Linked DNA regions of Styela clava. The protein of the gene in region 2 purifies or fractionates together with the protein of the main gene of each other region. This does not show direct contact. Links are inferred from orthologs where the notes say so. Each region holds a gene or a part of one and is shown on either strand. Other genes may lie near its edges.

Region 1 (8,173 bases), on a different chromosome or scaffold from region 2:
TGATAAACCAACATTATCCAAGTATATATGTATAATACTCACCACTTCTTGAATATATCTGGTCAAGTTGAGAGAATTGAATTCCTTTTCTAATGAACTTCTCTGTTGCTCTGTAAGTTTTCCCTGCAACAATAATGGCCTTGGATAAGTTTTTGAGTATAATTGTACACAGGACTTCAAAGTTGAGACTCGGAGGCGGGAGTTTCAAAATTTCAACATGTTTTGCTAGAGTAAGAGGCTAAGAGCTACATTTTTAAACTCCCCTGAGTCGAGAGTCACGGTCAAAATTGTGAATTCTTCAAAGTCGATGTTGGAATTCCAGACTGACAGACTTTCAGCAGTGATATAGAAAAGTTGAATATCTTTACAGAAACTTAAACAGCATTAATTTTTGATAGTCTGTTGAAGGATACTTGCATACACCAAATTGTTTGTTATTGAAAGTTGATTTCCTCCAATTTGGAGCTAGAAGCGTGTCAAAATTTCTTAAACCTAGTCAGAAATCGAAGTCAATATTTCCTCGACCCAGAGTCAGGAAGGAGTTGGGTACACCCATAGGGTGTGTACCAGGTTAGGGTTAGGCCATTATTTTATTCCGATTTTCCCTATTTTGGTTATATTACGAGTTCTGGGACTGTCTGTGTTAGCCGAGTGAATATACCCCCTGCCCCCTTTATAAAACTTGATGTAAAACAGGTGAACAAAATTAGTTACCTCCACATTGGTACACACACATCTGGAACACCCAGGAGTTGATTATGAATTTTCCCCCAACTCAACAGCTCTGCCTGTACTACATTTTCTTTGAAAATGACACAAAGTTTCACCGAATGGGCAGTAACATAAAAATCTGTCTATATAACTACTTACCAATTTTTTAACAAAAGCAGTGTTTTTCTTCAAACTTGAATCAAGTTTGTGAAAATAATCTTCATCAGGTCGATGATCAGCAGCATTCTGATTTTGAGTTCTGAACTTTGATTTGGCGGCATTCCTTTCATTTGTCTCTTTCAATAAGTTGGAGGCTTGTTCCTGAAATTTATAGTTTGATTGAACATGGATTAGAGCAGTAGAAAAAATTTCCAAACAATAAAACAGATTATTAAGGATAATACAGATAAGGAGATATTGGAACAAGCAAACCCTCTCATATTGTAGGCTGGTGGGTTTTTGAATTTTTGATATGGCTTCTAAACAGTGTGAAATTTCTATATATCTATGCATTCTTTCTTTGCTTAACAAACATTAATATATAAATCCAATACTGCAATATGTCATTTATAAATTAATATATACAGTCTTGTGATACTATGTTTTAAAAACTGAATAGTATCATCCAAAGCTGCCCATTATAGTTTTACCATATTCAAACCAAAAATGATTTCAGGCATTTTGATTATTTAATAAGTAAGACCAAGGAAAAGTCCTCAAACTGCTCTATTCTAAGATTGATGCTATGATAATAGCCTTGGCTGATGGTATTTAACAAACTATAAGTTTTTGCTTGAAGTGCAGTACATAGAAATAGTTAGAAAAAACTAACATATGTCGAAAGATTGATTCCACGATATAGGATGGGATAGCATTCACATATGTATCCAAGGAAAGATGACGGTGCAGCACCAAGCCTATTCCTAACACTTAGCATGATGGATATGGATTCAGAATGATGACAGTCGGGACAATGTTTAAATCAGGGGTCTCAAACTCGCGGCCCGCGGGCCAATTGTGGCCCGCAGGACGATAGTTTGTGGCCCCCGCCTTGGTATGAAAGTTTAATAATGTTAGTGCGTCCCGTAAGTCACTCAGCTCAGTTAGAATGATTGATGCATTTAATATATGATCAGGACAAGTAGAGCAAATTAAATATTTTATAATCTATCCCCCGAAATGGCATATGCGGCACGGTAACCTACTAGTACCATACCTGTAGGCATGATATTCGATGGACCTTTGACCCCAAAGAAAATTTTCTTTTACCTCACCATTGCAAATTCTTGGTGCTTACTTTAGAGGTGGCTTCGCAAGTTAAGGCCTATAAACTGGGGTATATGTTTCACGTCATCATTTTGATTCAAAACATTTAACAACCTGTTTTTCAACAGTACCAGTAGAGAAGTTTGGCCTAGTCTATCACAGCTATTTCTAGATTACTTTTTGATTACTACAATTAGGCTACGACGCCCAAGCAATCAGAATCATTATTGAGTTCTTTGATTCATACTCAAATTTCTGAAAAACAACCCAAAACTAACAAATAGCATGCAAAAACGAGGTAATGTTTACAAACATGCCTGAAAATCTTTCTGAGTGACAAGTGTCTGAGCGTCTGCGAAAAAGTCTATTGTTACGTCACTTTTTGGGCCTTGCTGATTAGCCAATGTTACGGAATAAACAAGGAAGTAGATGCTCGGGGAAAGGTCCATCGCGGAATTACTTACATTTATGTTTTTGACATGTTTTGTGTATAGAAAAATAGTGGAAAAGATTTAACTTTTCAAGTTTAATGCTTTTATTGTGTAAAACCTGATGCGGCCCAGACTCACTAGGGCTCTGTCTCGGCGTCCCCCAGGTAAGTTGAGTTTGAGACCCCTGGTCTAAATGATTCATCAACGCTTCAAATATTACTGAAAATAAATTTTTTCATCAACTCAAACCTTCTCCTCTTGAAGCTTTTTCTCATCATCTTCTGTGGTACCTCCAAGTTCAGTTTTATCATCTACACAAAGATAATAAAAAGTTAGAAATTTGACAATAAGCTCATTGCTCATAGTCTATCGGCCAAACTAATAAAAATTTAAACTATCACATAACTGCATGATCTATTCAAGGAACATAGAATTCGCCATATTGCAATTATTTTGACATGTTTAGATGTTATTCTACGAGTAGTAATGTCTCTTGCCCAATATATGACCAAAAGTCGCAGTTTTTAAAATGACTGTCAACAGTTCTCAAATAGAAAAGTTGAGTTTGAGCATTGCTTAATTTAATGCTAACTTAAAATAGTTGATGTCAATGTTATCGGTTTAATGATTTACCAGTTTAATGATAACAAATTCCACAGAGCAATGCTCTTAAAAAAGGTAAAAGATTAAGTCACATCAAATTGATTCAACATTCCCGACTAGATCATAACAAAAAAGAATTTACCTAGTTCATCAATGATTCTAATCTGTTTAAACATATAAAAATAAACCTCCATTAAAATATGTGTATTTTATACAAAATCCATAACTGTACCTTTCTCATCTTTATTGTCCATGACGAACAGTAATTGCTGCCTCTATGCTGACTTGTTATATATATATCACTCAGCATTTAGACATTGAAATTTATTCCTAATTTTCCACTTTACAATACCAAACTGAAAAATTATATTATAATTCATAAAAAAACAAAATAAAAAAAATATCATTGAGAGCTGCATATAAATAACCTAATTTTTCAGCCTCTGCTATATTTAATAGATGTACCTCTTTTGATCAAGATAAAAACATCGAGCCAAAATATTATTAAACAATGTTATTTATGCTGCGTATGGCCACCATTGCAATCCCCATTTATCAGTAGGGCACAGGAACGACAGCAGATGCATCAGACTCAGATCATACCATGCTTGTCTCAATAAGTTTGATCAATCGCGGCATGCAGTAGTCGTTCATTTTAGTTTATTTCTCAGTGCGGGATTGCCTATTTGTGCCGATATAGAGGGCCAGACTGTCTGGTAAGTGGTAACGGAGGGGTATGTATTCACTGTTATATTTGATGTATTTTGATGTGGGGGCTATTCCTGGATTTGTTGAACCGCATCGTACTATATGTGCTGACTAAAAGGGGTGAAAGCAGATTGCCAGACTACACCGTCCAAAGCTTGGTTAACTTGATCTTGTAGTTACAATTCACACTTTGTCAAAGAAATCATTGTGACAAGACCGATCAGAAAAATCTAATACTAATGCAAAAATACAGATACCGTGTTTGTCATTTTTTTGTTTCTTAGGATAGTTTTGAGGTTAAATAATTTACTATTCCAACAAACAAAAACAATATTTTTGCTGAATATCTATGTTCAACTTGAAAATTTGCACAATTTATTGTAAATTGATAGAAATAGAATTTGGTAATGAAAATATAGAACAGTCGGAGAGTTGGATAAATATTATTTATCAGTTTCCAAATTCCAAAAATATCCAGTCATTTGGTTAAAAAAAAACACTCCATATGACTCACAAACAAGGGGCCTCCTGCCCGACGGCAAATGCCTCATATCACGCCATGCTTGTCTCGATAATAATCTAAATTAATCGCAGCCGTCATGTGACCAAAATTGCTGTTTTTTGAATGCCACGATAAATAAATTATTTTTTCTCCAGAAATTCAATGATGGCGATTTTAGATTGAGCTTTTTTTTAGTTTATTGCACTATATTTTTACCGATATTGAAAGACAACAATGTAAAGACGTTCTCAAAAATAGGGGTGTCTGTTCATCGGCAAAATGGGATTCTCCGAAACAAGACAATGTCATGTGCCATACTGACAGTGTAGTAGTAGTGTTTCTTTCATCACTATGGGAAAACAAACAGATGGCAAATGCTGAAATGTAAACATTTTTAAAAAAAGGTGAAATCCAAACTTATTTTGGTCTGGTCGTCATCAGACAGTCCAGTAATCAGATGTCAATAATAATTTTTTAAATGCAGGTGTTGTAACTTATTTCTAATCTAATGACATACTGTAGCCCAGCCACAGCCTACCAACAGACCTATACCGGTATTCAGACATTTAAAAATAAATATAACCATTTTAAATCTGTAAATTCATCAAAATACAGGAATACTGAAATAGGCATTTCTTTTAAATTTCAAAATTCAGAAATTGGGCATCTCAGGCTGAGCTCAAACCGACTTGATTCTAATATTTATTGTTTATGTTTTGTGTACCGGTATGGTTTTTTATTGGAGAAAATCAGAACATACCGGTACCGTACTTATACTCAACTTTGGATTTTGGTTAACGCAATCCATCGTCGCCGGTCTTCACTTAAAACCGCAAGCTTTGGTACGGTAAAATGCGTACGGTGCCGTACCAGTACCGGCACTCTTATGTTCTGAAATTACTTTAATTAAATACTGAATTCCAACCATGCATGGACTAGTCAGAATAACCTCATTCATACGATCATATGGCATCTTACTTAGGCTTACCATAAATCTGAAACAAAAAACCGGGACGGTGCGATTTGGCAAACATTCGGTCGATTGCCAGTCTTGATAATATTGGAACGTCTACCATGCCATTGCGGGTATATACGGCTGTAAATCTCTACTGATCATTGAATTAGAAAAAACACAAAAAATTAGTTTGTATTATTCATTTAGACCAAAAGTATTTGTCCGCAGATGGAACCTTTCTCAAAAATTTTTGTTTTGATTTTGTCATAAAACTGATAACAAGAGACATCACCATTAAATTTGCAGGTTACGGAGTGGTTTTATATTTTCTTCAGGCATTCTGCACCTGCTTTCGGACCAAAATTTTTTAACAATGGAAAAAATCCTTTTAACAGATGCCGATTTTCCGAAAAACAAAATCAACCAATTTGCTGCAAATTCGAAATGCTAATATTTCTGTTAGAAAAAAACGTTAAACATCTTTGTCCACTTAATTTCAACCGGCAAAGTAAGTCAAATTGCATTTGAACCATGCTCAGATAAATATCTCTTTATCAGTATTCGTAAAAGTGCATCGCTATTCAAAATCTGATCAGCTAACCAAATATATCATTTATCAATTTTGCAGACCAAACACTTCAGTCCAGTTTATTTCACTCTTCAAATTTGTCCATATGTGTGGCCTGGCAGCATTGTAGGCTTCATCGTGCAGCTCTATATTCGATAGACATTTCTCGTAAAAATCGCAAACATTCTTTTTAAATACAAATTTTTTCCCTGCAAATTTAGCTTCACCTCTGACAGAATATTTGCAACATCTACGGCAGGGGTCGGCAACCTTTTGTCGCCCGCGGGCCAAAATTAAGGGTTGCGAGTCATTGGCGGGCCGCACATATTTTTAGAAAGTTGAAACTGAACGAATGATAGTTTTTATATTAAAAATCAAGCAGTGATACATCTCTCGAATAGAATATAGATTTATTTCCTCATTGCATCTCAAAAAATTCCGTTTGAATATTTTCAGCGCCATTGAACCCTTTGCACTTAGCATCAACTTTTCTGCGTTTTGTTGCCATTCGAGCTTGAAGTAAATCATCATTAAATTCAGAGGAGAACAACGGATAAATGCACCAACTCTCATTTATTTCTGGCTAAACGTGCAAAATCAGCGAATCCGCTTATCAAACAGCGGACATCAGAAATTCTAACTGTGTATATTTACAAGTTAATGCAAATTTAGCCTCAAAAAAATTTGAAATCAATTTAGAGGTGCAGTCAAAACTTTGGTCATGAATAGCAGTGTGATAGGTAAATGTCGGCTGCCAACGACACAGAATCATCCGAATTTGTTATCGCAAAATTGGTCAGTCGAGTCGATGCTTCAATGTTATTGTTTTGTGCTTCCTGCTTTGGATATGATCGTTGACATCTGAACGTCCGCCATGACTAATAGAAGAACAGATCTGCAATGCGTACAGTGTACCTTTCCTCCTTCAGTTTGCTTCAAATAAGGTAAATCTTTCTTCAACTCATCAGAAAACTTGTACTTTCTTTTTGGCATTTCGACAACTTAACGACATTGCAGTTAACGCCAGAAAACGCATTAAAACGTATACCAATTGTGACATAACAATAGAGCGATTTCTCTCTCTGAACTAGCAAAGTGTGTCGCAAAACAGTGGTAAATGGGCTGTCACCGTTAAAAAAAATTTGTAATATTAATGAATTTGAATTTTTTACCCATGAAAACCGTGCTGACAAACCGGGACATTTGAGTCAACCGGCCGGGACGCCGGGACAGCTTGTCAAATCCGGGACTGTCCCGGCTAAACCGGGACGTATGGTAAGCCTAATCTTACTGCTGTACTGAAAGGTACCGGTACAGGTAAATATTAAATAAGTTAACCAACTCGCTCTCATTAATAGTTATTACCGTACCGTACACGTAAGACACAGTACCGGTACCGTGTGTTACGCTACCTGCTCAGTCAGTCAGTTTTCTGTGAGAGTTGCTACCTGTGTTAACTCCATCCATCACTCCATCGCCCAAGTTCTATGGTTAAAGTCCTTCAGTATCAGCATATATTATGTTGACTCCCAAACAATCCCCCTTCCCAAATTTACGGTCCCGTAACGGTTAACCAGCTCCAAGAGTCCAAGCAGCGGCATCTCTGTACCGTCATTTTCCGGATTTTGAGTTGGTGCGCTCCACTGAGGTGTATCTAGAGATGTACCGATGTATCGGTATCGGGTATCGGTATCGGCAATATCGGCCATTTTTTCGGTATCGGCCATGTATCGGTATCGGTTAGATTAAGGCCGATATTTCCGATATATTTACGTTTTTGATATGGTCCAGAATGTTTTAAAAGATAAGTTGGAATACTACTTTTTAATTTATTTTTTGTCTGGAGAGATCGTGAGCTATGAGCCATACATGTCCCTACCCCCGCGAGAGAATATGATTCACGTATTTTTAGCTATTTTCGCTGTCAAATTTTTATATTGACATTTTTAATATTACATAGTAATTATGAAGAAATATATCAACACGGCACATAACAAAAAGCAATTAGGCACCCAGTTTTAAATCATACAGTGGAATTGGGGTCCTTATTAACGGCACATGGACTTTTGGCACGGGTATAAATTCTGACTGTTTGTCGTCAAGTACGAGTGTCATTTAGTCCGACGACATCGATAAACTAAATTCCGACACAATTATCCCTCTACGCAGATATTAATTTTGTTTAACAACACAATTTCTTTATAGATATATTGACATGACCGCCTAGCCCTAGAGGGCCTAGAGTCCTAGACTGTCTCAAAATATATGATAGCAATTGTATAATAATATAAAATAGTAAAGTAAAAAAACATCCTCGACGGTTATAGGTAGGCCTTCTTTTGGTCGGTGCTGATTGATATTCTTTCATGTTGGCTTTGACTTATTGCGTCGACGATTACGATTAGCCACGAAATAAAATATTTGAAAAA
Region 2 (7,963 bases):
CATGGCAAGTTATACATGAATATCAGGCTCATACACACATAGATCACATACATAATAAATCCTTAGCCCTACCCTTTGGACTGGTTTTCGGATCTCATGTCATGCTGAAAAAATGCTCCTTTTGTTGGAATAAATGCAGGATCTTCTTCTTCTTTTCTCAATCTTTCTTTTTCTTCGTTATCAGCTTCTAAATTTCCTTCTTGCTTGTGTTGCTCATTATCAGATTGCTCCTGTTATTTGAGATAAAAAATTACACGATAAATAAATGATTAATACACTGGTAGATAATGAAACTAATATATACTATGATCTAACGAAAGCTCACAATATACTGGCTATTTTGTGGGAAAAATCCGTTATTCATCACTTTAATAGAATATTGTTTGGGCATCCTTGTGGCAAAGGACACAAGAATTCGAAGCAGGAGGTAGACAAGGAGAAAGGGCGCTCCAGAAGTGCGTGTACCAATATGGAGGTAACTAATTTTGTTCGCCTTTTTTACCTCAAGTTGTGTAAAGGGATTGAAACCTATGGGCGTTTGGTATATTCATTTGGCTAACACAGACAGTCCCCTAACTTATAATAGAACTGAAATAAGGAAAATCTGAATAAAATTATGTCCTAATCCTATCCTGGTACACACACTATGGGAGTACCGGAGAAAGAACCTACAGTTCAATGAAAGGACATGCAGTTTAATACACAATGTCCTAGTACCATCTGTTTAGTATTAGTCAAAATAAATTCAAAGCTATTGATTTCTGAACCCAAACCAAAGATAGATTAAATGTTTGAGAAACAACCACACGTACTTTTCCATCACCACTCTCTCTTATAGTTTCAGAAACTTCTTCATTTTCCCGTTTTATTTCTATGTTTTCATGTTCTTTGCCTTGATCTTCCTTTACTTTTTCGTTATCATTTTCTGGTTGTTCTCCTCCAGGGTCGTCTTCTTCAAATTCTTCATCTATTGAATGCCGAGCCTAAATAGGAAAAAAAACAATATTAATATAAACCGAGAGAGAAAGCCCGGGTCGAGTAAAGCGAAAATAGAAAAGACGCATGGTTCTTCCAAACCAGGAGTTCTCAACCTTTTTACCCCCCGAGTCACGAAACAATCAACGCGAACCCTCAGTAATCAGAAACCAAACAAAGTTGTGATATATTGTCTGACAATTTGCTGCTACGACAATTTATTGACCAACTGCTGTGACTAAATTAACTGTTCGCGTTAATGTTATTACCCTTGTCCTACGCCTAACTAATGAATTCTTGTAACCTCTTCAAATTTCGATATGCATATCACTTTCTGCAATGATCGCAGCACATTGTCTTCTGAGATTTCACAGTTTGGCTGCAAAGCCGTGCATTTCACATTGTTGCGTCACAATCACAACAACGCAAGATACAGGAAAATCTATGCAGAGTTTCAATTGGCAAACATTTACCTTTGGTAGTTACTTAGTTTTTCTCAGTTAGAGGACATTGAAAAAAAAAAAACACAAAAACACGACTGCCATCCAAGTACCCCAGGTTGGGAACCCCTGTTCTAAACAGTCTAAGATTCAAATAGACAGATCGAGTGGTTGAGAAGTTTTTTCGATACACTCCTCTCTTTGCCTATTTTTAATAAAACTCCTCATTCTTCCCTCAAAACACAGAAAAACTCTGTTACCAATCGACAATTGTTGTTATGTTTTATAAGGTTCTTCTCTATTGATACTCGCAAGCCTCTGTGGCTTTTATACAATTCCATGTAGGCCTACATATAATTTGTCCATATGAATGTAATACAATAGCTAAACAAGTTAGTAAAAGGCTTACTACATAAAAATACAAAGTAAAATTCCCGAAAACTATAAAATCATGCCCCGGTCTGGAAACGCTTTGGCATTCATGATTTACAGAAAAATATATCTAAAATTAGATGGAAAAAATGATTGGAAATCATCTAACCAATTCATATTTGGAAAATATGACATAATAGATTCTCTAATACATGTTATAGCACAGGGCTACTCAACTGGCGGACCGCGGTCCGAATCCGGACCTTTCGAGTATTGGATTTGGACCGCACTTAATTATTTATTTTGGATCATTAGCCCCACTTTTTGAATTTCCTATTATAAAATGACTTTCACAGTTTTGAATATATACGAAAAGAACTATAACACCATAATGAACAATTTTAATTTGCTACTAATCATTAGTCAGTCGAGGAAGTGCTCGTTTAAGGATGCCGAAATATCATTTCTGGAAGACCGGACCCAAATAATTTTGAAGTTTTGTTTGCGGACCTTCGATAAAAATAGTTGAAAAGCCCTGTTATAGCACATGTTCTCGAAGAATGTTCCAATATTCAGATATATAAAACATAAAACAAATACTCTCGAGATATGGCGTCTGGCACCAAAGCAGATGCGTGAGATCTCGTGATCTGTGTGTATGAAATTTGTTCCCATTTGTTGTTTTTTCAATTAAAACTCTTGAATGCTACAGTAAAATATTTTTTCTGTGGAATAAATTTTTTCTAAAAAATTTTTGATTTTAATTGACAATAAATTAGCTTTCTTTATATTTAACGGTGTGCCATATAGTGGCAACATGGAAGGACCACACCGCCAGGCTGACCCGCAACGTAGAAGTTTGTATTCATGCTTATAATTGATGTCTTTAAATAGGTATGTGCTGATGTGTGAAGTGTGTTGATTAATGCAATTATAACTGTTAAATATAATGAGCTACCTCTTCATCTACGCTTTCATATTCCGATACGTCGAGGTCATCGTCATCAATATCAGATTCCTAAAATATGGTTAAAAGATATTCAACGAAAATCATAAATCCAAAGAAATCACCAATCTATATTAATAAATCATTCCCGGAATACAGTACTGGAATAAAACACAACTGTTTTGAGGTTTCACTTAGTTCAGTTCAACCAGTGTAAAAAATACAGATTTACTAAAATAGCTACAAAATATGACATTCATTATACCATTCCTGCATTCACTACAAGAATTTAAAACTGAAGCATCGAATATCATCCGCATTGATACCGGTACTGTTTTCCTGTTTGAGTAGACTACTTACAGACTTTACTATTCTTTTCATCGCATGACCACAAACTAAAAGGTATTTAACTGACGAGAGTTAAGTTTTTATTATATTGACGAATTCACTTAGCCCAGGAGCCGGTACCGCTGTTGCAAATCACACTGGTCCATCGGTACGGTACCGGTACTTACCGAGCCGTTCATTGATTTCTCATCTGGTTTTTCATCCAAACCTTCGCCCTCCGAATCGTTGACATCTTCTTCACGACGCCTTCTGCGTGACATACCTGTATCTGTGTAAGCAATGTTATATTGAACACCCCAAAATCGACTTCAAGTCGAAACAGTGCCAAAGGCTTCTACACAACGACAACTTTACGATTGTTGGTGGCTGAAAGCCTGAAACGACGCGGATGTGCTATGAGTCTCTATGAGCCAATTCGGCAAAATTTTACTATGATAATTAGAGAAATTTACACGGAGAGATAATAATCTATTGGACACCAATGTAGATATGATTCGTTTTGTTTTTTATGTTGTTGTTGCTGGTTTTGGTCAAAGCGTATATATATTACAAGCGAGGCAACGCTCAGACAATGGATTCCATCTTGTGCGTATTATACTCGGCCATCCAACAAGGCGCCCTATGAAAAGTTCGCACACAATTATTGAAACATACCAATTATTTTCACTTATATTTTAGGTAGAAATGTTTTGAAGGTCGCGTTTTGAAGTAGAATCTTAGTCGAACATGATGATATTCTTTTATGTTTGCCAAATTACATTTATAATACATTTACATTCAGTGGGGAGCTGTAGTCGAAACGCAACGAAACCGCGTTCCGGTTGTTGGACATTTTATTGCATTTGCGTTTCTGTGTTTGTGGCCAAATTTAACGTATAGCTTTTTTATTTATTTCTAATTGCTTCATATATTTAGGTAGCATCAAGCTTAATGTTTATGTCCACCCTTCGGCTTCATTCTAACCCTTTTAATAGCTGACTTATTCGGTTCTGTACAACAACACGACAAAAATTTTCCATAAGACTCCATTGTTTCGCGTTTCCCAAATATGGCACAAATGTCGTACATGAACTTGGGTAACATTGGGCAAGTTGTTTGCCGGCCGTTGGTTTTGGTCATGTTCATTTCCTTGTTAGTATTTTTCACGTATGAAAAATACTGTGACAGTTTGCACTTTGCATTAGCGTACAACTTCGTTTTCCAACAGTCTTTCGATCTCTTGCTTTCCGAATACATAACAATTGAAATTATACACTGCAAAGAAAAAAAGCACAAAATATAATTGGCGGGCAAAGACTGCAAGGTCAACCTACCACTGAAGATAATTTTGACTGATACAAAAAAGGCAAAATAAATATCAATGAGAATGTGAATCATGAACTTGCCAAGTAAGAAAAAAGAGCTATATACAATTTTCCAAAATTTAGTTTTACCTACTGTAGTACAAAAATTAATATTGCAATAATGGAGCATTGAATACAGGTAGGAACAACTAGCAAATCTATTCTATAAAGTTCAGAGAAGAACAAAACTACAATGTCTTTATAAACATTTTATTGCATTTGATAGCATGATAAATTGATAGCATTATGAAACTATATTAATTTTTCCGACTACTGAAATCAAGTTATTTAAAATTAAATCAATTATAAGATTTTGGCATCATTCTCCATTATTGGCATATTACTGCATCACAGTATATTCGGCTAATTAATTTACGATCAAACATTTTTAAGAAACTGGGTTTTAAACATTTTGGTTCTTTCAGTTTGAGCGATTTCTTCATGGCAGTAGATTGGTGTAGTGTAGAAGTAGAATATTTTTAATTTACTTCTTGTCTCATGTCTGCATATGAGTGAGTCTTGCAAATTTTAACAAAACAGTTTAAAAAATACAATGGTAGCAGCGAGATCTATAGCGATGCATAAAATTTGTAATTACTTTTTCATTCGAGAAATCCACACTGATGATCCAGCATAACGTCAGATTATCCGGATAACGAATATCCGGTTACCCGAGAGGTATTTTGCTATCTGATATTATCGTGACAGTTAACCGGATAATAAAGTAGTATTTCTGATAGTTCTGTTAGATGACGGCGACAGAGCAAATAATTTTTAATTTTATTCACACTTCATTGTCTATTATAGACATCCGTGAAATGCTGGAGTGAACTTCACTATCAGATCACAAAATAGGCAAAACGAATGTGATTATTATGCGATAGAAGGGCGCATTCGCTGCATATAGTTAGGTTGGAAGTATAAGCAACGCTGTAAACCAGCGATCGGCAACCTGCGACTCCGTAGCCACATGCGGCTCTTTGTTCTCGAAGCTCTGGCTCCCGTGAATCAAAATGGTTACCATGATATTGATTAACATTTCACCGGATTGAACATTTGGTACCATGTTCTTGGAATGCAACAAACGAGCTTATAGCAGTTCTTGTCAGAAGCATTGGGATTTAACAAAAAGGGAGGCATAGAGCCAAATACTCTTTAATAATTCACATCACAGCGGTTCCCAAAGTATAGGTCGCAAGCGGTAAAATTGGGTCGCATTAAGATGGTTCAAGTCTGTCAAAACAATTTTTTTTTTCCATTTTTCAGTTTTTTTTCATTTCGGCATACAGTGTATGAGTGAGTGTATTATTGCCTCATTCGTATTTTATTTAGCTTCTTCTTAGTAAGAACTAGATTATTGCATCATAGGTGGTTTTCCGAGAATTTTAATGACCAGCACTGCTGCTACCAGCCATATTCATTCCAAATGTTGCTAAGCTAAGCGCCTTAAAAATGATAATCCTGTGGAGGCGCTGCATTCATGAATTTACATATTTAAATCAACAGTTTTGGACATTATAATTTCAAAAACAATGTAATTTCAGATTGTTTTCATGAACTCTAGTGTTCAAGAATACCTATGTCATACCGTTGAAGACGGCTCCATTGAATGAATACAGGGCTATTGATTCGGAATCCAAAACACGATGTATCACTGTACTATGATTGTTGAAATACTTCGATTTAACAACCAAAAACTGGGCATTGTCCCCAAACAGCACGTTCATTTTTGACCACTGAGGCAGTTCATATATACTAATATTTGATGTAGAAAGTTGTATGGACTTTGTTGAAGCAAAAGCAGTAGTGAATAAATAACAGAATATGTAAGAAAGTAGACAAGGCAATTGAAATGGTTGTAGTCCGAGTTTACTCAAGTCCTGAAATCCAATTCAGGTCGAAACAATATACGATAAATTTGAGTGGTTATTTTTAATAGCAGAAATCAAGGAAGGCACCCTGCTTGATTTATCAATAAAATTTAAAGCATTTGCCTACGACCAATTAACACTGCTTCAAGAACGAAACTGAGATTGTTTCATTAATTTAGTTATGCGTCACATTTTGGAGTGAAATCCTGAAATCTGCACTTATGGATACTAAAAAGTAGAAGGAGTGATTGTCATGGATGTTCGAATTCATGCACGTTTACCCAAGTTGATATGTTTTGTTATACTGCAATTGGGGAATTAGGTTCGTTGAAATCCCGAATTTCAAAATTGTATCTATAAACGTCAAGGCGAATTACCGGTACGTGTCAAAGCGTCGCGCTTTGTTTTTTTTCGAAATAATCGAGCGATAAGTGAAAGGAAAATTGAGCGGAGCAATAAGATAAAAGGTAGTAGAAGCCAAGGAGAATGATTTGTTATGTCAACTCGCGTCAAGCAACTCCTTATCTGCCGGAGAGACGTTTCGTACCTTTATTTTAGTGAAACACACCTCTATTTTCAAGCGTGGGCCATATGACAGCAGTGACAAAACGCATATATATATATATATATATATATCAATTTGCGCCGCGCGATCCCGTTTTTTTAACGTAGGTTACTAAAGCCCAACTTGACGGACTTGGCTGTTCTTTGACAATAGCACTAGACCTCACGGACGCTACAAGTTATAAAATTAGTCAAACATAACAATTCATCATAAAATGAGTGTCAAAAGAAAGGTGACAGAGGAAAACAGAGTTTAGTGGTAACTGAGAGAAAACGTATTCTTTTGCCCACAACAGTAGTAAACCACAGTGTCAGCAGTACCCAAAAACAAAAATAAAAAAAAATTGGTATGTTATTTTGTTTGTGCTTTATATATCTTGCTTAAAATGAAAAAAACGCCACCCATGCAATATATATAACAATAGGCTGATTAGAAGTGCTCTCATTTTTTAATATATTCAAAGTAACTAAATTTGCAGTATTTTGATCACTTCTTCCCGACTGGGCCTCCTCCAAGCCTCCCTTCTTTTGTAAAAGCAAAAACATTGTAGCGCTTCAAATTCAATGTATATTCTACACGCGCGACTCTGCTATAATACGCAGCGCAGGAAGAACAGGATTCTTATCGCGCAAATAATTGGAACCTCGATTGGTAAGTGTTAACGTTTTCCAAACGAACTGACAAATATTAGCCGCGGAAAATTAATAAAATAGCATTCATAAAACGGAATGGCGCATTTAAATGACGTTTATGGTATACGTGGTTCATGGTGTCAACGGGTCGCGTTGCACAATTGGTCGACGTTACATGAGTAGTTGCCCAGCTCGGACCATACGTAAGTATTTCTTCAAATATAGAAATAAAGGCCAGATAAAACTAAGCCGATTTCAGGCTCATAATGACAAAGAGGCAATGATTTTCAAATACTTTGAAATATTACAAATTTCGAAATACTCCATGCGGTTCAACATATAAAATATAATTCACATTACGAGAGACACCGTGTTAACAAATCTAATATGAAAGAATACGCCAGCAAATACATTGAAGCAAAAAGGAGTAAATTGCATAGTTATAGTGTCATGTATTTCATCATGATTGAT

The links. The genes of interacting proteins can lie anywhere in the genome.
Region 1: the proteins of uncharacterized protein LOC120342158 (region 2) and regulator of nonsense transcripts 2-like fractionate together in Homo sapiens (co-fractionation; 3 studies listed by BioGRID and IntAct). This does not show direct contact. The link is inferred for Styela clava from reciprocal best matches to the Homo sapiens genes CASC3 and UPF2.

The regions. Positions count from the first base shown.
Region 1 is NC_135256.1:14,129,169-14,137,341, reverse strand, and holds the start of regulator of nonsense transcripts 2-like, read right to left. Parts: upstream 3,373-8,173; 5' UTR 3,266-3,372; coding exon 3,244-3,265; intron 2,720-3,243; coding exon 2,658-2,719; intron 1,033-2,657; coding exon 871-1,032; intron 124-870; coding exon 43-123; intron 1-42. UniProt on the Homo sapiens protein: Involved in nonsense-mediated decay (NMD) of mRNAs containing premature stop codons by associating with the nuclear exon junction complex (EJC).
Region 2 is NC_135252.1:6,798,622-6,806,584, reverse strand, and holds the start of uncharacterized protein LOC120342158, read right to left. Parts: upstream 3,442-7,963; 5' UTR 3,342-3,441; coding exon 3,249-3,341; intron 2,806-3,248; coding exon 2,746-2,805; intron 984-2,745; coding exon 813-983; intron 231-812; coding exon 73-230; intron 1-72. UniProt on the Homo sapiens protein: Required for pre-mRNA splicing as component of the spliceosome. Core component of the splicing-dependent multiprotein exon junction complex (EJC) deposited at splice junctions on mRNAs.